Cricetulus griseus: one gene and its partners. The protein of the gene in region 1 interacts with the protein of each later gene in a biochemical or structural test. Links are inferred from orthologs where the notes say so. Each region holds a gene or a part of one and is shown on either strand. Other genes may lie near its edges.

Region 1 (7,596 bases):
TGGAGCACAGGACCACCAAGGTCCTCCTGTTAGGCATGAGGAGCATATACAATCCCTTAACCTCTTGCAGCCCTCTCCAGGTCCTAACCCCAAAGTAGCCAACCAGGGTCTTTAGGGAATAAGATGACAGAAAGTTCTAGAACCAAGGATGGGTGGCAAAAGGTGGGGACCATGGCTTGATTCTTGTCTCCACTAGGTCCCTGTGGAGTAAGGAAGCCTTCAAAGTGCTCTTGCCAACTCCAGGCTCTGTGGTCTGATTCTGAGACAGCCCATGCCAGAGTAGAGGTTTTGGCTGGGCGTGAGCCTGGCACTCAGCCCCTTCCTGGGTCCTTCCATGGCCTCAGCTGGCTCCCAGCCTCACCCCCTTCCCTTCTGCCCAAGGGGAGGGACTTTGTTCTTCCAACTCAGACTGGAAGTAGCAGGACCAACAGCCAGACACTGAGGCTCTGTTCTTGGGGGGAAGAATGGCCTCTTCTGTATGGTGGGAGTTGGAGGCGGGGGCTGCCGAGGGGCCCCAGGCAAGCCTTTCCCAAGTGATAGCCTTACCCCTGACGGGCTGGGGTACCCTGGCAGTCCTATGGATTGGAGCTCAGGAAGAAACTGGAACTGGACCCTGATGTGTCAGCCTGAGCCAGACTCCCAACCATGCTGCCACTCTCCCTGTCCCCATTGAGAAGTGGGTAGAGGACCCCCTTACCTTCTGTATCTCTCCATTGGTGAAGGGCTCAGGCAAGGGGCCTAGATGAGGGAGACAGCAAAGGTCAGTCTAAAGACTTTGGGGAAGGAGAGCAGAGGAGGCCAGAGCTATGCCCTGGGCAGCTCACCAGACCTCATACTGGAGGTCAAAGGCCACAGTGTTTTTGGCTGAAACCTACTGTATGTAATTTGACATTTTGATGACCCAGTGCCCAGAAAGATTGTTTGACAATTTCAGAAAACAAGACCCCACTACAGTGCCATACTTTGGTATTTTCAACTACAACTTACTCTTACAATGTCTCATTTGGCAAACTGGAGGAACTTTTTTGGGTGTGTGCATAGGAGGATCACACTTGAGGAGGGCTACTTGATGCTGACTGGCAACTTGTGATAGACAAGACAGCTCCCTTTAACAGTAATACTTGGTGCAGTGCTGGGGGCCAAACACACAGCCCTCCGTATACTAATTAGTGCTCTACCACTGAGCTACCTTTCTGGGCCTAGCTTGACATCTGACCCAGAATGCCAAGATGCCAGGCTTGCAGGAGCGCTAAGATGGGATGGAGTTCTAGGGTAGCCAGTCAAAAAACAGATCACCTGTGTGTGGCCAGAGAGATGGCTCAGTGGTGACCTGATTACCTGAGTTGGATCTCCAGGACCCAGATGGTAGAAGAGAGAACTGACCTCCACCCACATCCACCCTAGGGCAGGGCTGGGCCTTGGTATTCACACCTCTCAGGGGCTGAAGGCAGATTTAGGGCCACACCTCAGATTATATAGCTGGCACCTGCTGCCTTGGAAAGACAATAATGGCAACTGTCTGGCATCTGGAAATGAGGGGACAAGGAGGTGCAAAGGCAATGTCCTGAGCAGAGTCAGGAGAGGCCAGTGAGAGAGAAAGTCAGCCCCCGGCTTTCGGCTTGGGGGAAGGCTGGTCCACCTCCAGAGACTAGTGAAGATGGTGTGGTGCCTCTGTATATTAGGTTCTGAGACCCGTGAATCCTCCACACTGCATCCGCCTCGGAGATCTGAGCTATGTGAACCCATTGCAAAGTCCAGACAGGTTTCACTTTCGGCATAGCACAACAGAGCACACTTCCAGAGCCATCTTCCCAGGCAGAAAGTCTGGACTAAGGAGTAGGGGTGCTCAGCCCCTCCTGCTGTGTGGTGTGGTGTGGTGGCCCTACTCACTTTGGCTTGGCTTGAACAGGAAGAGGTGCCAGGCTTGGCAAGATGAGAGTGGGGGAGGGGGAGAGGGCAGGGGCCCAGGGACTGAAGGGGACCCACTACTCTCCAGAGCCAGCAAGCCTGAGTTTCCAAGGCAACTTGACAAAGGGGGAGGGGAGCACTGGGCCCCTGTCACTGGACTCTGATCTGCCCAGCAAAGGCTGGAGGCTGCTCCAGAGTTAACTCTTTCCTCTCAGAGGGACCGTCAGTCTGAGAACTCACTGGACTAGGGAGAGGCCCAGGCCGTGCTTGGTACTGAATCTCATCCCTCCTTCATGTTAATTGTGGTTAATTACCATCAGCTGCCACCTTTAGACGCTCATGGCCCATCCCAGCTTCTACTCTCCTCCAACCTGTGCTATTGGGTCTCTCCTTACAATCCGAGAAGCTACCCCCCATTTCTGGCCAAGTCTTAGGCACTTGGCCACACACCCAGCTGTGCACTCACCATCCAGGTGTTCCTGTGACGGGATCACTTTGCACTTCTTGAAGAACTCATCAGTCTCCTTGTCTACCACCAGCAGCTTGGCCTCATCCCCTCCAGCCTTGATGGCAGATACCACGTCCCCATGCTGCTTGCCCTCCATGCAGACACCATTGACCTGTGAGGCAGGGCAGGGACGGGGGTCACCCACACAGGTCTCAGTGCTGGGGAGGGCAGGTGGAAGAGGTCCCACCCGGGAATGCTGAATCCCCACATGTGCCTAGTCCCGAACCCAGCCAGCCAGCAGTTCTCTGACAGTCAGTTGGGAAGCAAGACAAATGGGAAGCGCCAAAGAAAATACCCAGAGGAGACTATGCAAACACAGCTGTGAGCAAGGGGAGGCCTGGGAGCCCGGGCTGGGCTCTCCTCTGACCTCCCTCTCTGGGCCTTGGTTTTCTCACGTGTAAAGTGAGAAGTCTTGGAAGAGCTGATCTGTGGCTCTAAGGTTCTCACACTGTGATTCTGGGACCAGCCCAAGCATTTAGTTCACATTTCCTCTGTCGTGAGCACAGCCGAAGAACAGTGTCTCAAAGCTGAACTCAGGAGAGGGTGTTGGGTCCATCCTTGTGCCTGGCCCAGAGTGCTCAGGCATCAGGAAGGCCGTGCTGGTGGCCTCTGGCATCTACCTGGATTTTGGCAGATAAATCCTGGGTGTAGAGTGTGCATTTGGTAAAGCAGAACCATTAAGCCTGTCTAGTCCCATTTACCACTTAGCACCTATCCTTTCTGTGCCTCTACTCTACCTGTGCAGCTGCCCACCGTCCAGCACCTCTGTCTGCACTGCCCACATCCCATGGGTTAATCAAACCACAGACGGTACGAGGCTGCCCCCAAGCAGCAAAGATCAGGAAGGAAGAGCCTGGGAGAGTACAGAGAATGTTGTACAGGGTATCACCTCCACAATGCGGTCTTGGGCTCGGAGTCCAGAGGCCTCTGCGGGGGAATCTGGGTCCACTGCTCGGATGAACTGGCCTGGCTTAGACTTGTCGCTGTGCAGGTTGAAGCCATAGCCATTGGGGCCTTTCTTCATGGTGCAGAGCCGAGGCCGGAGCTCACGCTGTGGGGATGTAGGAAGCAGCCATGTCATTCCACAATGTCCCAATACCACCTTCTCCAACTCCACTCTCCTCCAGTGGTGATTGGAGCCCACAGAGCAAGGCAAGAGAATCTGGCCCAGGGTTCAGATATGAATAGACACTTAGCACTGAAGTAAGCCGACTGGCTCTGGGTGAGCCACCGTCTTGCCTGGGCTAGGTTCCCTCCTGGATTCTACTACTCATGTGTTTGGTCTTATCCTTTTCCACCCACGGCTCATCTGGTCCTCCTAGGCCTGGCTGGGCACCTGAGACTCATGAGTGGGCACCTGGCCCCTGTATCTGTTCTCTGTTGTGAGAGCATGGATAGCTGTTTACTGAAAGCTGGCCAGTTTGTTTACAGTAAAGGTTTTCATCTCTAGTGGGCTCCCTCCTCGACTCCAGTGAGCCAAATGGCCCAGCCAAATGTGACCCTGATAACCTGAAACCCAGCAGGTGGCTGGGGGAAGAGTCCTGGGGTAGATGGGACTTTTAGCTCTAGATCCAGCCAAGGATATAGGGAGCAACAGAGGTGTGTGTGTGTGTGTGTGTGTGTGTGTGTGTGTGTGTGTGTGTGTGTGTCTAATCCCCCAAGGATTCATATGGGGAGGAGACCATGAAAGAGGGCTGGGCCAATGTGGTCAGACCGTGGCCTGGAAAGCAGGGCCTGTTACTTTTTGGGTTGTTGATTTTTTGTTTTGTTTTGTTTTGGAGACAGGGTTTCTCTGTGTAACTCTGTAGACCAGGCTGGTCTCAAACTCTGAGATCTGCCTGCCTCTGCCTCCTGGGTGCACCACCACCGCCTGGCCTCTTCCTTTTAACAGTATTTATTTATTTAGTGTGTGTGAGAGAGAGCATGAGTATGACATAGCCCACAAACGGGGTTAAAGGGCAACTTGTGAGAGTTGGTTCTCTCCTTTCACAATTGGGAGTCAGGTCATCAGACTTGGTGGCAAGTGCCTTGACCCACTGAGCCATCTCACCGCCACCCCTCTTTCCCCTGAAAGACATAAGCTAGTGTCTTTTGTGCACCCTGGCATTAGCTGGGACAATTTCAATATCTTCCGTCCTCTTTGGGCAGCTCAGCTCTGAAGCTACAGTCTTGATGCTTTCATGACACAGGCTGACAGATGGACAGACACTGGACACGAGCCTACAGAAGCTGGAGGCTCTGCAAGCCCTACCCGAGCTCCACCCTGACCCCAACTCCAAGCCTGGGGCAAGCCTGTTCTCCACTGGCTGGAACCCTAGTTGCCACCTACCCTATGGGGCAACAAAGTGCTCCTACTAGCTTGTGACTTGGGGCGAATCATTTCCATTTCTGGGTCTCAGGGTCTTCCTTTCTAGAGGTGTTTATTGCTACCTGCTTCTCTGGGTTGCTGCTGAGGCCCAATGACACAGTATAAAGCCACACTTTGAACTTCCCAGTGCCTGCCCAGACCTGGATGTTGCCATTGTTCTCACTAAGTCCCCAAGCATACCAGGACTTTGCCATTGTTCTTGCTACTAAGGAACAAGCATGTAACTCTGAGATACTACTGGGTTGGGGAGGGTAGTGGCTAGATTGCTCTGAAACCCAAATCCTCAGCTGGGGGTACAAAAGGCAAGGGAGGGGAAGAGGAGGGAGGAGTAAAGGGAAAGCTTTGGGGCCTCCAGCCTCACCTTACCAGCATTGCCATCCCAAAGAAGAGATTGCTGGTTGGGGTAAGGTACTTGCTGCCAAGCTCAGCCCGAGTTTGCTCTCCAAGACCCACAGGGTGGAAAGAGAGAAGTGACTCCCACAGGTTGTCCTATGACCATGGCACTCCCACCCCACACAACATAATACATATGTTCACACAGTAAATTTTAAAGATGTAAAAAAAAAAAAAAATGCTTGGGCAGGCTTTGTGTACCTGTGTTCAGGATGTTGGTGAGGAATGTAAAGAGTCCAGAAGACAGAAGGTGACAGTCGGGATTTTCCATAGTGGTTACTTACCCAGATCCCAGAGACCCCTCACCTCAAACAGCAAAGACAACCAAATGAGTAGCAAAAAGAGGGTACCACAGGAGGCCCCTCCTTCCCTCAGCCTATCCAGCCCTTCACCTGCTGTGACCTAGCCCCTCCAGGAGCCCACCCCCACCTCCAGAACCATGTAGTTCCGGGAGTGAGGAGTCTCTTCCTTGCAGCTAATCCCCGCACAAAGCTGCCACAGGCCCTCCCCCAGGCTGCCTAGGTGAGCTGAACAGGTCTGACGAGTTGCTGCCACCAGGACAGACGGGCTCAGCTTTCTACCTTAGCCACACACCTCCTCTGGCCCTCAGTGTGTGGAATCCCAGCTTGCCTTCCACTCCCCCCGCCCCCCCCAGGATTCCCTTTCCCCAGACTTCCCACAGCAGCCTGGCTGAAGCTGGTTAGCTGTTTTTGAGACAGGGAAATTACAACACAGAAAGGTTAAAGCCCACTCAGTCTGACTAGAGACTTGCTTTCCTCCCACCACAACATCGGGCTTGCCCTTAAGCGTTGAGTCCAGAACTAGGCAGCCTGGAGTGAAGCCTAGTGATAGGCAGATGGTGGGGGCGCTTCTCACACTGACCAGGTGTCTGGGAGCTAATGAAACCACAGGCTTCCTTCCGGGAGCTCCACGCCTCTTGCAGCCAGAGCCCCAACCTGAGTGGAAGGATAAAGCCTGGCCTAGGTGACGAGGCTGTGAGCATGCCCGGGCTGGCACTGTGGCTAGAGCCAGGCTGAGGGTTCAGGAGGGGTGGCTCCCTAGTACTGGGCAGGGCTGGGCTAGGTGTCTCTGTGATGCCCACCTTCCAGTTCCAAGTCTGTGCTTTGGGGTTTCCCTACCGCACCTCAGCATCCCCTTTCTAGTGACATGTCATCAGAGTTCAAAGGTCCACTTTGCATCCTTCTGGCAGCATGAGGACCAGGAAGACTTAGAGGATCCTGCCTAAGGGGATAAGACATCCTCTACTCTATTGCCCTCTGGGTGGCTCTGTGGTTGATCCAGGGGTCTGTGGGTGGTAGCGTAGGTGACTGGTATTCTAGAAAGCCCGGTCTATGAAGCACTCACAGACCCTTCCATGCTAATGGGTCCCTTTCAGAAGTCTCTCTAGAGCAGTGGTTCTCAACCTGTGTGTCAGGACCCCTTTGGGGGTCGAACGACCCTTTCACAGGGGTCATACATCAGATATCTTGCATGTCAGATATTTTCATGATGATTTACTGTAGCAAAATTATAGTTATAAAGTACCATCGAAAATAGTTTTATGACTGGGGTCACCACAATACCAGGAACTGTATTAAAGGGTCCCAGCATTGGGAAAGTTGAGAACTACCGTTTTAGGTCTCTTCCTTCACAAGTGGGGGAGGGAGGGGTGTTTGAAACTTTCAGAGAAACAAGCCTATTCCCTTCCTGTCCCCATGAACTGTCAATGCAGCTGCTGAGTCAGCCCGTCCCAGCTTGGGTGGAGCTTAGAAGAGTCCCCTGGGGGCAGGCCCCTGGTTCCCAGGCCTCAAGTCAAGTAGAGATGGGGGAGGGGCAAGGTACCAGAGCTTGGATTGTGCCTCTGGGAAAAGAGATAGAGGGGGGAAAAACTCCACACAATCTTGGGCTTGGTGTGCGTGCCCCCTCTACCTTAAACAGCCTTACGACTTGTGCCAACTCCAGTAGAAGCAATAGCATGGGACGGGGTGCAGGGGGGAGGGGGAGCACCTTCATGGGAACATGGGCCCAGAGGCTAGATACAGCCTCCACATAAACTTCCAAAGTAAAATACAGGACAGGCTCAGGAGACTGGAGACAGAGGCAAAAGCCCCAGGCAATGGTGGCAGAGGGTGTCAATGGACCTGAATGATGCTGGACTGAGCCTCCCTTTCAGCTTTCCAGAGAGGTCCAGGAGCATTGCTTCCAAACCCTCCTCAAGGAGCCTTCTCCCTTCTTCAGAGGGCTGCCCCTTGACTCTCTGCCCCAGGGTTCAAACCCACCCTAAGAAGCCAGGCCAACATCTCCTCCCGCCCTTTGTAGGCCAGGGAGAAGATGGGGACCACGGAATTCAATAGTCACCACCCACACATGGGCCACCTGGAAAGCCGAGGAAAGTCGATACCTTAGTCCTAGTGCAGTC
Region 2 (8,142 bases), on another chromosome or scaffold:
CCTGCTCTTGATGTATGAGCTGGCTCTCTGCAACATATTCCCTATGGTGGGATGCCTTATTCAGCCTTGATGCAGGAGGGAGGAGCTTGATCTTGCCTCAGCTTGATGTGTGTTATGCTTTCTTGATTCCTATGGGAGGCCTTAACACATCTAAATTGAAATGGAGGAGGAGCGGAAGCGGGGTTAGGGAGGTGGGGGGAGAGAGGGAGAGGAGAAGGAGGGGAAACTGTGGTTGGTATATAAAATACATTTTTAAAAATGATGAAAAATTGTTCTGAATCATGACCTACAAGGAAATATTACTTAGACATAGTTCTTTGTGGCAGATTATCTGACAATAACATGAGCATGTTTTCCTGACTGAGAATCCTAACAATGCTAAAGACTGCAAACCACCCAAACCATTTCCTCATCCTAGATCCAAGAATCATCAAGCAGGCTATCTTTTAAAGGGTCAGCCATAGCATCACAAGGAAATTTTGAAAGAACACTTGCTGAATTTAAAATGTGTCAACAGTTGTTTCCTCAGATACATTTTATCAGAATGATTGTCACCATGTCAGGAATGCTGAACATCATCAATATACAACATATATGGATCTCTATAGTTGACCACAATGGAGCCAATTCCAATAAGAGATGCCTATTAGAACCATGTAATCCAGAAGTCCAGAAATGCTCTGAATACAACAATACAAAAATTAGTTTACAATTTCAAATAACCATTAATTTCAACAGACAGCTATTAATAGGCTGTACAGAGAATCTGACAAGTAAATTTGACAAACCTCACCTCATCACATAGATGCAGTTGTAAAAGCCGTATCTTTAAAAACTCTGCAGGAATGTAAGCCACCTAATAGTTAAATAAACTTTTACAGGATTCTTGCAGGAATGTAAGCCACCTAATAGTTAAATAAACTTTTACATGATTCTTGCTAAAAAAACCAAGTTCCCTGACAATCAAGTCTATGAAAGCCACTTTTTAATACTGATTTTATTCAGAAAAACAAAACAAACAAAAAAACCCAAGCTACATGCTGCACCCATTCCTTTCTTAGTGCTGAAGGGAAGCCGCTAGAATAATGTTTTCCTTTGTGATGATGCACAACGGATTTATGAAATCACTGTCAGTGTCTCCAAACAGTTAGACCCTTTTCACATTTACTCCTCTTAAACTGAGGGCTTTGCAGGGACTTTGCTCTGAGGAAATGCTCTACACAAGATGTATCAGGAACAGAGTATCAAAATGGCCAAATTGCTGCTGACTCATGGGTGTTTTCAAAGTTTCAACAAATGATGTCTAAACTGTAAGCTAAATGGTTAACACCCTTCCCTTATGGTTTACCAATCCTATACTTATCTATAGTGCTTCCACACTGAAATTATAGGTTGCAGTAAAAGGACATTACAGTAATAATATACTTTATGGTGGTATTCACTCGTGAACCTCTTAAACAAGTTTCAACATTTATGAATTGAGTATTAACACAGTAAGCCCAACTTCCATAGAGAAAACCAAAAGCCTCAATTTCCCCTGTGTATCATTATTAAGTGTGCATCAAGGGGTATTTCATTGTTACTTACATCAAACAACATGTTGATGAAGTTATTTTTAAAATAATAGCTTCCTCTGCTCTGAGTAGCAGGGGCTTGAATATTAAAAGTGTATTGTGTGGTATGGGCTGTAAAACCATTGATAAAATTTTAATAATTGTGACATCAACTAAAATAAGTTTAACGATATCAAGATATTTATTATATATGTACAATGACAACTTTCATTATATCATGCACAAGAGGTACTCTTAGAACTATGAAACTGACATGAAACTAACATATTATCCCAAGTTGAAAACTCTGAGCTGTGTAGTATCAAAACATGATCAGCAAAAGGCAAATAAACAGAAGAGAGTTCTGAGGGTCTGGTACAGAGCCAACATTGGGCAGTGTTTGTGCAGTGTCCAGAGAGTCCCCATCCTAGATGCAGCTTCATCTAATTCCTACTGGGAAAAAAAAAGCCAAAGGATAGCATGGAAACCTGGAACTATAGCCCCTGGATAGCATCCATCAACTAACTAAAGGACACGTAGAATTCAACTATACTAGGTTTCTTAAATACCAGGACTGTACCTTCAGTCCATCAAAACTGGCCTTTGGATTTGCATACCCTAAGTCTTGCCCAACAGACAAACATAAGATAATGTCTGTGGATCAGAAACAGAATGGACATGCTACTACCCAATTTTTTGTAACTGTTCATAGCTCAGTCAGTAATTTCCCTCACAAGCATGAAGACCTGAGTAAAAACCCAAGCACCCATGTAAATAGGTAGGTGATGTAGCACAGGCTGATAATCCCAGTGCTGGGAAAGCAGAGGCAGGAAGACTCCTGGGTTTGCTGGCAAGCATGTCAAACATAATTGGAAAAATTCAGGTCAATGAGACCTGTTTCAAAGGACATGATGGGCTTTCAGAGGATGATACCTTATATTACCCTCTGGTCTACACATACACACACACACACACACACACACACACACACACACACACACACACACACAAACACACACTCTACCAGGCACACATCAGGCATGATCTTTTTACTACAGTTGTATGAAAATGTAAGGTTTAAATATTTCTCAAAATCAAAGATTTTTATAAATTAATCACACTAATATATGAATCATAAATTCTATGCAAATATATCACCACTTGTTTTAAAACAACTTTTTTCATAAATTTATAACATCTTCTAGTTAATGTACTATTTTCCGTGAAAGTCACAAAATACTTGAAATTTTCATGGTAAAATTGTCTTCTGTGTTAGAATACTTCCAATGACTTCCAAACTTTTCCTTCCTGTAAACACTTGCAAAAATATATTTTTATTAAGCTTGTTTTGGTTTTAGTGATATAACCTAGATAATTAAACTGATACTTAATATAATTCATAACCCAGACCCTAATATTGGAAACATGGCCTTCAGGTTTTTTTAGTCTTTTATACCCTAAAACTGATGGGATAGTACTCAGAAACTCAAACTCTAAGGCATCTATGGAGATCTGAGCATATGGATTTCCCCTAAATATCTAGTAAGTCCATATTAGATGAGACTATCCCTTACATTAATTTCTCAAATATATAATACACATACACATCACATAAAAAAAGGTTGATAGTCAAAAATTATAACCAACAGAAATAAACTCATTGTCTTACATAAAATGTAGAAAATAACCATAGCAGCTAGCATTTCCTCAGTAAGCCCAGGACATAACTACTCAGCAGATTAACCCACTATGTCATATGCACATTGACAGCCTCTAAGTTTTAAAAGTCAGGTCACACAGAAATGTGAAAGGACTTGCCCATTAAGCAATCCTGAAACCAGGCAATAGGAACCCAGAGCCCACTGTCCTCGACACTAGGCAGAAATGCCTAGTCCAATGGGAAAAAAAGGGTTTTCATCTTTGAAAAGGATAGTTCAGAAAGAAGTTTCTAATCACTGACTGGTACTGTAGCTGAATGTCAGAGCCTATAAATAGTAAGAACTTAACTCTTAAAAACACACCTATTCTTAAAGCAACTGATTATGAAATCGTTTGAAGGACAGAAATGAGTATGTGCTTAACAAATTTCACAGCCATTATAATATTTTTCCTTTCCAAATCAACCTAAGAGCATTTGGAAGGTACACTAAAATAAATGAGCTGTATAATAAGAGGGGAGATTTTTGAAACACTGATAAATGAACAATCTAAGTTTCTTAATACTTTAGTGGGGAAAATACACAAGAGACATTCTCATGAGAACGTGAGGCACTGACATGTAGGTTCCTCAAAATGATCTCATAAAAGTGTGCAGTTTATGACAATTAACACTCTGTTGCTGTGAGTAGTAGGAAAATAGATCCCGGCTGATAAGCTGAATTTATGGATGAAGTAACAAAAGCACTGTGAATACCAAAGGTAACTCCAAAGGGTAAAGACCTTGTCTCCCATCCACTGGGAGGAGCTCTCCCACAGAGGCACTTGTCCTCTTAGTCCTGAGCTCTAGACCCACCGGCGGCGGCAAAGGCAAGAAGACTGAAAGCTGAGCTTTGCCTCCTGCCCACACCACAGGGCACATTTACAATCTATGCAACACTCTGGTCCTTTAGTTTGCTAAAGTTTAGATTCCCTGAGGAGCTGTGAGTCAAGTGAGCTCCCATGAGAGAGCTGTTCTTTTCGTTCATCCACACTAGAGGAACAGAATAGCCGCGCCATAGAGCATGTCAAATACAAAGTGCTTAATTAGTCTTGCCTAGGTCTCCCAACTTAAAATCTAATTTTAAAATCCTTTTCTATTGAGGTTTTGGCTCATGCTGTGCAATGCAGGATAAGAGAACAATGTCCCAAGTGTCAGTTGGATATAGCTTCAGTAGCTAGAACCCCAGCTTCATATCCCATGGTTACTGCTTTCCTAAATTCTTTGCTTTTGATATTTCTGCTGCTTAAAGATAAATATTTTAACTGACTTGCTCACATTCTTAAAAAGTAATGTAACTATGGTTACATTACTTTTTGGTGAGCATGTCAGACTTAATATTACAATAGCAAAAAGTACTATATACTTCCTCAAAAAAATTCAGTCAGCAAATGTTTTCTGAACACCTACTACATACAGGTATGACACCTGCAGACAAGCTTCCTGGGGAAAAACAATGAACCAACCTTAAGGATTTTTAATTAAGAAAATCTTACAAATTTTTCAGGAAAAAAAATTAAGAAAACTGTTGCCCTGCAAATATTTAGGTGTTGCAAGTCTGATTCTCAGTTGCAAGTACATTTTGTTCTCCATCTAATCAGCTTCAATTTATTCTATAAAATCCACATTTCCTTTAAAACAATGAATGACAACACACCTTTAAAAACAAAACGAAAACAACAAAAAAATCTCTTCCTGTTTTCCCAAAGACTGCCCATATGCATTCCCTTCTTTGGCATGGGCACACCTGCAAAGATCCCCTGGCACCCTCTCACCTGAAAAAGAGTTTGGAGATAAAGCTGGCTTTCTCCAAAGGCGACTTCTGCATGATGTCTCCGTGGTGCACTGAGGTCTGTGTCTGGACACGTTCAGGTTGGACTCGACCTCTGAATATCCAGGACCCAGTCAATGTTTTTAGCGATTCCCCTTTTGTCGGACCTGCGGTGATGTCATTTGCTTCCAATTCCCCCCTAACCAACTGGGTCCCACACGCCTCCCCTTCTCTCTGCCTTCCTCCCCCGCCTCCGTAGCCCAGGTTAAAAGCCAGCACTGCCTAGCCCAGCCCCAGTCCCTGCTCTCCACGCCCCAAGCCCGCCCCGTGCGCTCCTTCCTCCTGCGCGCCTTGCATGCCGCCCGCGCCTCCTTCTCCTGGCGCTCACTCCCCGCGCCCTCCAGCGCCCCCCCCACATCCCTACCTTCTGGCAGCAGCAATATCAGTGACGGCTCAGGCACCAGGTCCGGGGAAACCAAGGCCAATCTGCGGGAGCTAATATGCTTCTTATGTGTGACCAAGGACCACTGACTGACCTCCTTGGCTTCCATGAGCCTTTCTTCTCCCTCTTCCCAGTCTTCTATTTCTCTCTCTCCTCCTTCTTCACTTTCTCCTCCATCTCTTTCTTCTCTTCCTCCTTTATCTCTTTCTTTTTCTTCTCTTTTTCCTTCTTCTCTTCCCCCTCCTCTGCTACCTTCATCTTCTCCTCTTTTTCCTCCTTTTCCTTCTCTCCCTCTTCCTCCTGTCTCTGTAGCTTTTGGCCGAGTTACAGTTAACTTTTCAAGATTCATTTTGAAGAGGAGATGAAAACGTGGCTCCTCGGAATCAAAGTACAGATGCAGAAAGGTGCAAAGTCCCACAGTAGTCCGAGGTGTCCCACCTCAGCAAGCCCTTCAAGAGCTGGACAAGACCTAGCTCTGTTGACTGAAGTCTCTAGGGTAGCCATAGAGTCACAGACATCTATGAGGTACATGAATGTCATAGGCATATGTCACAATTCCTTGATATGTCATAATTACAGCAAAAGCCCTACCAAGGAATGGGGAGCAACTGCTTCCCCTAGGAGGCATGTGTGTCAGACACATGTATCACAATGCCTCCGATGTGCCATAATTATAGACAAAGTCCTTGAGGACAAAGGGAGCTATTGCTTTACCTATTTCCCACTCAGGATGTGTTCAGTGTGTGTTGTAGTGTTTTGTGTTTCTGAAGGCTTTTATGTGTGTGTGCTACAGAAATGACAAGTGGACTGTCTAAACTAAATGACTGTCCTTTAGATTTCCTTGTCTGCTAAGCAAAATATCTGACAGGAACCCAAAGTCACTGAAGCAAAGGTATCCTATTCACCAAGAGCTCACTGAGAGAAATGCCTATGTCTTTAGCTCTCTGGGGGCTTTGAGAGTTTTCCAGGCTATGTGCCTTCCCCTTCCAAGCTTTTGGTGTGAGAATTTTGTGTCCAACATGAAAATGTGGTGGGTTTTAAAGGGCCAACACTTAAATACCTGAACCCTATTTAGCCAAAGCAAGTAAAATAGAGTTTGAATTATTTTTCCTTTTATTAAAAATAGAATTTTCTTTTTAGCCAAGCAGTGGCGGCACTGATCTCTGAGTTCGAGGTCAGCCTGGTCTCAGAGCAAGTTCCAGGACAATCATGGCTCAAGAAACCCAAAACCAAACAAACAAAAACAAAAACAAAACAAAAAAAGACAAGAAAATAGTTTTTTTTTTTTTTTTTTACCCCCAGACATTATATCCTGATTACTGTTTTCCCTCCATCTACTACTCCTACTTTCTCTCCACATGCCCTTCTCTCTGGATCCACTCCATTTCTGTCTCTTATTAGAAAACAACCATGCTTCCAAGGAATAGTAATAAAATATAATAAAACAAAAATTAATACATTGGAATTGGACAAAAACAAACAGAAAAGAACCCAAGAGAAGGAAGGCGCAAGAAACACGCCCAGGGATGCACTAGTCTAAAAGCCATAATTAATCTACATGCAGAGAACCTGGTGAGACCATGCAGGCCCTGTGCAAGCTGCCTCAGTCTCTGTGAGTTCATATGAGTTTTGCTCATGTTGATTTAGAGCACTTTGTTTTCATGGTGTCCTCCTTCCCCTCTGGCTCTTACACTCTTTCTGCCTCCTCTTCTGCAGGGTTTCCTGAGGCCTCAGGGGAGGGATCTGATGGATATCCCATTTAGGGCTGAGTGTTCCAAGGTTAGAGTCTGAGATTTTTAAAGAAACAAAATCAAAAATTAAAATGTTCTGGCCTGATTTTTGCCTCAGCATCTAAACACTGGGAGTGTTTACTTGTGAATTATCTGATTTTTGACTTGTGGACATCCAACTACAACACAAATAAAATATGTATTTCATAATACTGCTGAGACAAAAATGCACTTGAAATAATCATCGCCAAGAGGCTTTGCAAGCTTTACTTCCCATATCTACATTATCCTTTTTCCTTACTTTAAAACCATTATAAAGACATTTAATTTTTAGTATCCTGAATTTGATTACAAAAAGAATAGCAAAAAAATAAATCAAAGTTCGTACAGACAGACACTAGGGGAAAGCTTCAGTATATTCTAACTCAGTATTTTCAAGTACTGTATTTATGTTTTCCTCTCTTTTATGATAAAAATTGAAATTCAGTACTCATATTGACTTTTCCCAGCTATGCAACTGAAGTCATTCTATCCTTTCCCCACCCTCATTCCATAGTTTATAACTACTAGTGTGACCCATCAAATGTGATTTACAGAATCTGAAATTAATTTATTATCAGTTCCTCTTTGTTCTCACCAACATGTGACTCTAAATAAAGAATTAAATTTCAAAGATCATCAAAGCTGACCAAGCTATACAACTTGAGGAGATCTCAAGCTGCTTTCCCTTAAAAGGACCAGGGAAAAGGTAATGAATGAGTTCTTGCATTGTCCAGGGGTCATTTAACAGCCAAGTGCATACATGTTATTATACATATTTTGCCATTTCTAGGTGATGAAGCATCCAATTGAATGAATGTCTATATTAGTGGATTCAAACTCAGATGGGATCCCAAACATTTAGTCCCATCAGTTTGAAGCATACTTCTAAACAAATCTCCCATCATGTA
Region 3 (7,341 bases), on another chromosome or scaffold:
GGTCAGTGACTGTTTAGTGTTATATATTGTGGTCTAGAAAGAGGACAGCGCACTCAGCCTATACTTCTCTCATGCTGCACACAGCAGGTGTGCTACACAAACTCCAGGGTTCTTTCTGGTATGGACGGATTTGGCAGCAAATCTACAAACAATCTCAGCAGCATGTAAGGACAGCTCCTATTGCCAGGCTCCTTTCCCCTCCTAGATTCCTTGCCTCAGTAATTATCTTGCAGGCAGGCCCACCCTGTCCGCCACCACTCACACCTGTCAGCTTGAGTGTCAGGATAAGGTTCTCATTTGACAGACCCTGAGAACTTGCTGTCCAGGCAAAGAAAACTTTATGGTGATGAATCCAACACAGATCTTATGTAACTAGCATGTCAACAAACAGGAGACACGGAGGGACAGGGGAAAACAAAACTACATAAAAGGTGAAAGACAAGGGGTTGCGATAGGCCCATGATGTTCCTGTTTTCCAAGCCTCTTAAAACTGATGCAAGTTCTTAAGCTTAAAGCATACCTAAAGGGACTCAGATATTGCAAAAGTCTCCTTTACCTGAGAATTGACGTTAACCTTTATAGCTGAAATTCTAGCAAAGTGCATTTGAAGTGCCAAGGGTATTGTATGCATATTATTGGCTTATTTATTAATAGTTTTTCCTGTCTACTTAATTAACAAATGACAGGAAGGTTTTTAATATATACTATATTTAACACACACACACACACACACACATCTTAAAACGGTGAGGGATTCTAACTGAAGTCTTTTGAAATTACTTGCTGGTTATAAAGAGTCAGGAGATCTTTCAACTTCCCTAACGCAAGGAATAATCTAGTAGATTCTTCTTAATAAAGCCAAGTTCTTGTTCCTTTTGCAGAGTATTTATTTAGTTCCTGATTTTCGTATTAAAAGACGATGACTAAAGTATGGTATAGCCTCAAGGAAAGGCTCCATAATTCAGATGAGGGCAGAGCTCAGCAGTGATGCTGGCAGGCTGTTGGGCTCCTGGCTTATCCCTGCTCTAGCATCTTTGGTCACTTACCTTGGGCAGTTTCCTCTATTAGGCTTTCAGGCTATTCATATTACCAGCTCTTCCAAATCCAAGACCTTGTTAGGCTATGGGATATGTGAAAAATATCTGGAGAAGCTTGCTGTACCATCAAACATGAGGCCTCGAGGAGGAGGAGACTGTGGTATGAAAACCTTGACCAAAATGTGTTTGCACAGAATAACATACGTTGCACTTTGCACAGCATGTGCTTAGCCTCCCTTTGAGAGATCAATGCTCATCAGAGGTCCCATCACTGAGCTTTTGAGAAGCAGAGGAGGCCGGTGTTGGGGACCTTGGACAGTAGGGGAAAGAGAAGTAGAATTAGCTTTAAGAGCAAAAGGGATGGCACTGACCCTTGCAGGCTGATCCTTTCCAGCCTGGTGTTGCCAGGGAGGACGATCCACTCCATGAAACCTGGGCCATGCTCTGGCTCCAACACACAGGCAAAAATAGAATGAGGCTGCGAGAAGTAATGTGTTTACTTTTGTGATTTCCCTCTGTGCCTCTTAACAGTATTATAATCTCTCTGCAAACAGGCAGTGAGGGCCTGTGGGCCTCACCTCTACTGATAAACCCTCCAAAATAACTCAAACCTTAACTTGTGGCAACTACCTGGACAGCTGGAACACAAGTTTAGAAGGCAGCATGATGAAGAAGAAAGAAGAGGGGCCGAGGGACTGTCAAAACTGAGTGAACTGGGGACAAAAAAACAAAACAAAACCCAAAAACCTTCTCCCTTCTCCTAGGTGTCAAAAACACAGCATTTGTAGTAAATAGCAAAACCCAGCTAATTTATATTTTCAAAGTCTACAACAGGCTTTCTGCAAAGGACTACTTTGTCCTGAGGGGTAATAGGTCATGGCTGAGGTTATTTTGGTCTATGATTTATAAACTTGAGGGGTGCCACTGGAATTAATTGGGTGCAGGTCTGCTGCTAAATATCCTATAATGCATGGGAATGCCAGGCATGAGAAAGCCTGATTTACAAAGAAGTGCAGAGAATCAGGGGAGAGGAGACCAGGAAAGCGGAAGAAGGGAGAGGCTGAACCCGTGTTCAGGGTATGAACTATTCACCAGCTATCTTTGAAAGCTTTGCACTCTATGACCAAGGTCTCTGATTTCCCTTGGAATTCTGAGATTCCTGAATAGCTTTACACAGAACATCTTCCTCATCCTGAATACACCAAGCCCTGCTGCAGTACAAAGGGCACTACTGTAAAAGATGCCAGTGATATAAATCCACACAGTTTTTAAACAAGGGCTGGAAGGTAGGTAGCAGGAGCATGTGGGACAGAACGTATGCCCAGAACACACACTCTCTCCTCTCTCTCTCTCTCTCTCTCTCTCTCTCTCTCTCTCTCTCTCTCTCTCTCTGAGTCAGGGTTTCCGAGGTGACAGCACAGAATAGCAACTGTAGGACACACTGGGTTATGCTGAGAGCAGGCAGAACTGATTTGGGGCACAAGTAAAATTAGGAAAGACACAGGTTTGCATTTGGAAATCCAAAGGCACATGGGAGGGCTAGGCAATCAATGCATACCATTCTGGTACCCTTCCACATCAAGACACACAGCAGTTATGACACATAGTTACCTGTGGTTTCCAGTGGGAAAGACAAGGACACTCCAGAGTCAAGAGGTTTTGGAGAAACAGGTGCAATGAAATCATGGTCAAACAATTTATTTACTGTAAACTTTAGACTTTGCTCAGAAAAAAACAGCTGAAGCTGTCCCTCAGATCACTGCCTACAACACTCCATTTGAGCAAATAAGTGGAGCGGGGGAGAGTATATATTCACAGCAGAAAGGTCCAAGACACAGGATTGTCAAGTCCAAGGGTACAGGAAGGAAAACTTCCTTCTGATACAAATTACTAGCAGCAATAATAGTATACCCTAACACTTGACCAATGAGGTAGATGCATGGAAAAATCATCTAAACGTACAGACAGTCCTCTAGGACCAACACGCTTCAGACAGAAACTTTTAAGTTCCGTGCAAAGAGGAACTGAACTGCACAAGAAACAAATAAGCACTCAAATACAGCTTCTCCCCCTCTCTTGTTTTTGCAGCTTAAAAAAATAAAATAAAAAAGGGCAGAAGGATGTTCCCCTTCTGCAAATCTCTATACAATTTTATTCTAAAGTTATTACACTCAAGTTAAATAGTCTGGTTAGTGTCCTGTCAGGGAGGGGTCTTAAAAAGCAGAAAGCCTGCATTACAGTGGTGAGTCATTTGTACTACAGTTCCTCCCTTGGGAATCAAGGCTAAGGCTAGACACAGTACCTTGACAGTTCGCAAAGCTTTCCGTGCCTGGGGTGTCCTCACACAGCAGTTCACTTTCTTTTTCCTGCCCCAACTGACATTCACTTGCCTCCCCCATGTAGTCTGTTTTGCCATTACTGTTGGTGGAGTAGCCATTCCCATAGGCTTTCGCAGAAGACCTGCGGAGGCATAAAAGCTCCTGGAAGGCAATCCTGAAGTCTGGACTCCGACAGTAGATCAGGGGATTGAAAGCAGAATTGACATAGCCCAACCAGTTAAGGAGGATGTAAACTTCCTTAGGGATGAGGTTTTCCTGGATGACATGCACGATGTTGACAATGAAGAAGGGCAGCCAGCAGAGGGTGAATGTGCCCATGATGATGCCTAAAGTCTTGAGGGCTTTGTGCTCCTTCAAGCAGAACTTGGAGGACCTTCGGAGTCCGTGCCCACTCCGCCCATCCTGCTCCACCTGGCTGAGGTTTTGGGAATGGAATCTTCCCTCAGATTTGTCTATCTTCTGGAGTTGCCTTTTGGCCACCTGGAAGACCCTGGAATAGACAAAGACCATGACCACTAGAGGCACGTAGAAAGACACAATGGAGGAAGCAATGGCATAGGCCTGGTTCGTGAAGAAGTCACAGCAAGTCTCCTTGAGATAGCAGGTGATGGCTTTCTTGTGGGTGGCACGGTACCAGTGCATCTGGATGGGCAAGAAGGAGGTAAGGCCGGATACAATCCACACCATTAGGATGACCATTCGGGCCTTATTCTTGGTCAGCAGGCTCTGGTACTTGAATGGCGATGTGATAGCAATGTAGCGATCCACTGCTATCACACACAGGGTCTCAATGCTGGCTGTGACGCATAACACATCAATGGAAGTCCAGAACTCACACCAGAAGTTGCCAAAATTCCACATTTTCATAAGGATGTGACTGGCCCCAAACGGCACCACCGCTAGGCCCATGACTAGATCAGCACACGCCAAGGAGGTTATGAAGTAGTTGGTGACGGTCTGTAGTCTCTCGAACTTGGCAATGGCTGTGATGACCAGCACGTTGCCAAACACGATGGCCAGGACGATAACCGACATGAGGATGGCCATGCCTACCACCCACGCTTCGTCCCGTTCCTGAGTGATGTCGTGGTCCGGCGTATGGCTTCCGTTGGGTGTCAGCAAGAAGTCACTGTCGTTCCCGGGTGGCCCCATCGCTGGCAGACTAGCAGGTGAGTGCACTGGCTTTGGGCGCCCTGGCGCTCTCAGCGGGTGCACCTCCGACGGGGCACAGCCTGCCGGGGACGGACTCCTGGAAGCTTCATTCAGCGGCTGTAGGTGGCTGTGCTGGGGGCGCGTTCTGCACACTCAGCTCGTGGGGTGCTCTGGGTTCGCGGTGCCTGCTAGCTGCAGCCTGAACGCTGGAGAAGCAGTCTCGCAATGCTCCCTGCCCGTTATGTGCACCGGACTTTAGGGGAATTGCTTGGTGACGTGCAACAACTTTGGGCCAATGGTACGGTCGCATGCCCGGAGGGGCGAGGCACCAAGGGCCAACCCTCCCTGCCTAGCCCGCCTCCTCCTGGGGTTGGTCCGGGCGGGGCCCCAGTGCTCCCCGGAGGCCAAGCCACCACTCCCTCCCAGCTACCCTAGTGGGGCCTCAGAGACAGAAATCTGGAGCTGCTGTACGATCCACCAACCAAGCGCAGTCTGGAAGTTCTTCTACCTGTCCGTGCAGGTCACCTCTGCGGGCTGAGGTCTCTGGATGCAGGTGGCACACAGCGCATTTTCCTTTAGGAACAGAGAAGAGAGACTGAACAAGCACACTCGGACACGCATACACAGGCACAAACGCACTCGGCCGACGTGGACATGCTCAGACTTATGCCGCACCACAGCCACAGACACCGAGACACACCCGCGCCCACTCACGCTGGAGACGACAGCTGTCTCCTGGTCCAATGCAGAAAGGTGGCTAAAAACAAACACAGGAATACCTAGAAACATGCAGAAAGAAATGTACACAAGAGCTCATGTGGAGATGTGGTGTGCGGACCATTCAGACACCCATGTCCACATCCAGGTAGCATCCTCCTGAAGCACTTATAAATGACACCCTCTTTTCCCATTCCCAGACTCTCAGTATATTCCCTTACAGTTATTTGGCAAGAGCACAGGAGGTGACTTCAATAGCTACAGTTTCTCTGCACACTTTTTGAAAAATATGTTTTGGCATCCTCCCCCCTTGAGACCTTGCAGGCATCGAGGCAGTAATTTACCCTTTGTCTTTCATTAGGAGTTCAAGTATTTACACATTTAGGGGAGAGTTAGGTGGTTTTATTTTATTTTTAATTCTTGGGAGTGTGGCATCATTTTCTTGTTATATGAGGATGCATTGAAAATGAAAATGTAATATTTTCCTTTTACATTTTTAAAAGTTAAGTTAAATTCATTTATTTTACACATATGGGAGTTTTATCTCTAGGTATGTCTTTTCATTGTATTTGTGCTTATTTTGAAGGTCAGGAGAGAGCATCAGATTCCATAGGACTGGAGATACAGAAATGTACCAGCTCATAAGCTGACATGTGGGTGCTGAGATTGAACCCTGGTCCTCTGGAAGAGCACTTAATGTTCTCTTAACCACCGAGGCACCTCTCCAGTCCAGATAATTTTCATTTCAAAGAATTTCTTCAATTACTCCATTGAAACTATAAAAATATCATTTCATGTGTTGGCTGGATAATTTGTTAATCTTTTAAGCTGTGTCATGTGAACTTGCTACTGTTGGACTTGCTACTATTGTTTTAAAAAAAACCCATAATTTCATATAACATTATATTAAAAACATGCTCTCTGGAGACCATTTTAAAACTACAGAAAGTAAATGATAGTTGTTTCCCCCCTTTAAAAAAAATCAGACAAAGACCTAGATTCATGAAATACTATCCTCATCTGGAAAATGATTTTGACTATTGGGAAAACAAATAATTTTTTGCGTTTGATTTCACATGTGTTATCTTTGACAAACTGCAAGTCTTTCACACCGCATAACCAAACATACTTTGTAGATTACATAATAACATAACAATAGCTGACATTTAGGGAACATTCTGCTATGCCCCTTTTGTGCATTATTGCATTTAATCCCTCCCATAGTCCCATGGGGGTATTTTTAGCTCAGTTCTCCAGTGGGGCTCAATGGGGCAAATAGCTTGCCAGTGGATACTGGCCAGGCAGTACCAGAAGATGAATCTGAACCTGAATCTGTCTGATTCTAGCATCCAGTTTTTCAATCTTTCTAAGGTATTATGTTATTCCATGAAGAAAAATGAGGGGGGGTCGTCTAGAAGAAACCTACAACTGGGATTGGAGCACGTGTGTTTCAGGTGCACCTTGGAACTTTAACTTTTGTTTTCCTTAGTCAAACCACAATGAAGGAACCAAATTCCTTCAATCTCTAAGGGGGTGCACGTGTAAGTGTGTGTGTGTGTGTGTGTGTGTGTGTGTGTGTGTGTGTGTGTAGAATGATAATGTGTGATAGTGTGATAAAGTCATTTTCATTGGAATGAGTGAGAATCAAATTCAATAGAAACTATGAAAGGGCTGTTACATAGATAAATATCAGACCAATGTGAGCTTGCTAGTGTACTTTATATCATTTACTTAATCCTTTAGAACATATTACTAGTTTCCTCCAGCAGAACTATAAAACACTTTATGAAAAAGGATGGTGCAGTGTTTACTTCAGAAATGGGGCTTAGAAATGAAACTTCTTCAGCAGCACACACTTTTTTTTGACAAGTGTCTCAAAATATTTTCCATAAGCCCACAAATATCAATTAAAGATTTATTATGTTCACATAGTTTTAAAAATACACCCACCTCATATTTGTGTTTTCCAAAATTGGCTCTGGTTTGATGCATTTTAGGATGAGGCTTTGTGTTATGCAACAACCTTCCTTTAAATACACATCTACCCTGAATGTGGAACTAAAACATTTAAAACCTACTTCCTGTTTGTGCGAGGG

Evidence for each region. The genes of interacting proteins can lie anywhere in the genome.
Region 2: the proteins of Slc9a3r1 (region 1) and Cftr form a complex in vitro, tested with the Homo sapiens proteins (9 studies listed by BioGRID and IntAct, with this or other methods). The link is inferred for Cricetulus griseus from reciprocal best matches to the Homo sapiens genes NHERF1 and CFTR.
Region 3: the proteins of Slc9a3r1 (region 1) and Adrb2 form a complex in vitro, tested with the Homo sapiens proteins (3 studies listed by BioGRID and IntAct, with this or other methods). The link is inferred for Cricetulus griseus from reciprocal best matches to the Homo sapiens genes NHERF1 and ADRB2.

Annotation. Positions count from the first base shown.
Region 1 is NC_048600.1:127,781,390-127,788,985, reverse strand, and holds part of Slc9a3r1 (Na(+)/H(+) exchange regulatory cofactor NHE-RF1), read right to left. Parts: intron 3,468-7,596; coding exon 3,306-3,467; intron 2,529-3,305; coding exon 2,375-2,528; intron 739-2,374; coding exon 698-738; intron 1-697. UniProt on the Homo sapiens protein: Scaffold protein that connects plasma membrane proteins with members of the ezrin/moesin/radixin family and thereby helps to link them to the actin cytoskeleton and to regulate their surface expression. Necessary for recycling of internalized ADRB2.
Region 2 is NW_023276806.1:208,420,677-208,428,818, forward strand, and holds the start of Cftr (cystic fibrosis transmembrane conductance regulator), read right to left. Parts: upstream 5,572-8,142; coding exon 5,229-5,571; intron 5,134-5,228; coding exon 5,025-5,133; intron 1-5,024. UniProt on the Homo sapiens protein: Epithelial ion channel that plays an important role in the regulation of epithelial ion and water transport and fluid homeostasis. Mediates the transport of chloride ions across the cell membrane.
Region 3 is NC_048595.1:176,926,667-176,934,007, reverse strand, and holds Adrb2 (beta-2 adrenergic receptor), read right to left. Parts: upstream 4,529-7,341; coding exon 3,272-4,528; downstream 1-3,271. UniProt on the Homo sapiens protein: Beta-adrenergic receptors mediate the catecholamine-induced activation of adenylate cyclase through the action of G proteins. The beta-2-adrenergic receptor binds epinephrine with an approximately 30-fold greater affinity than it does norepinephrine.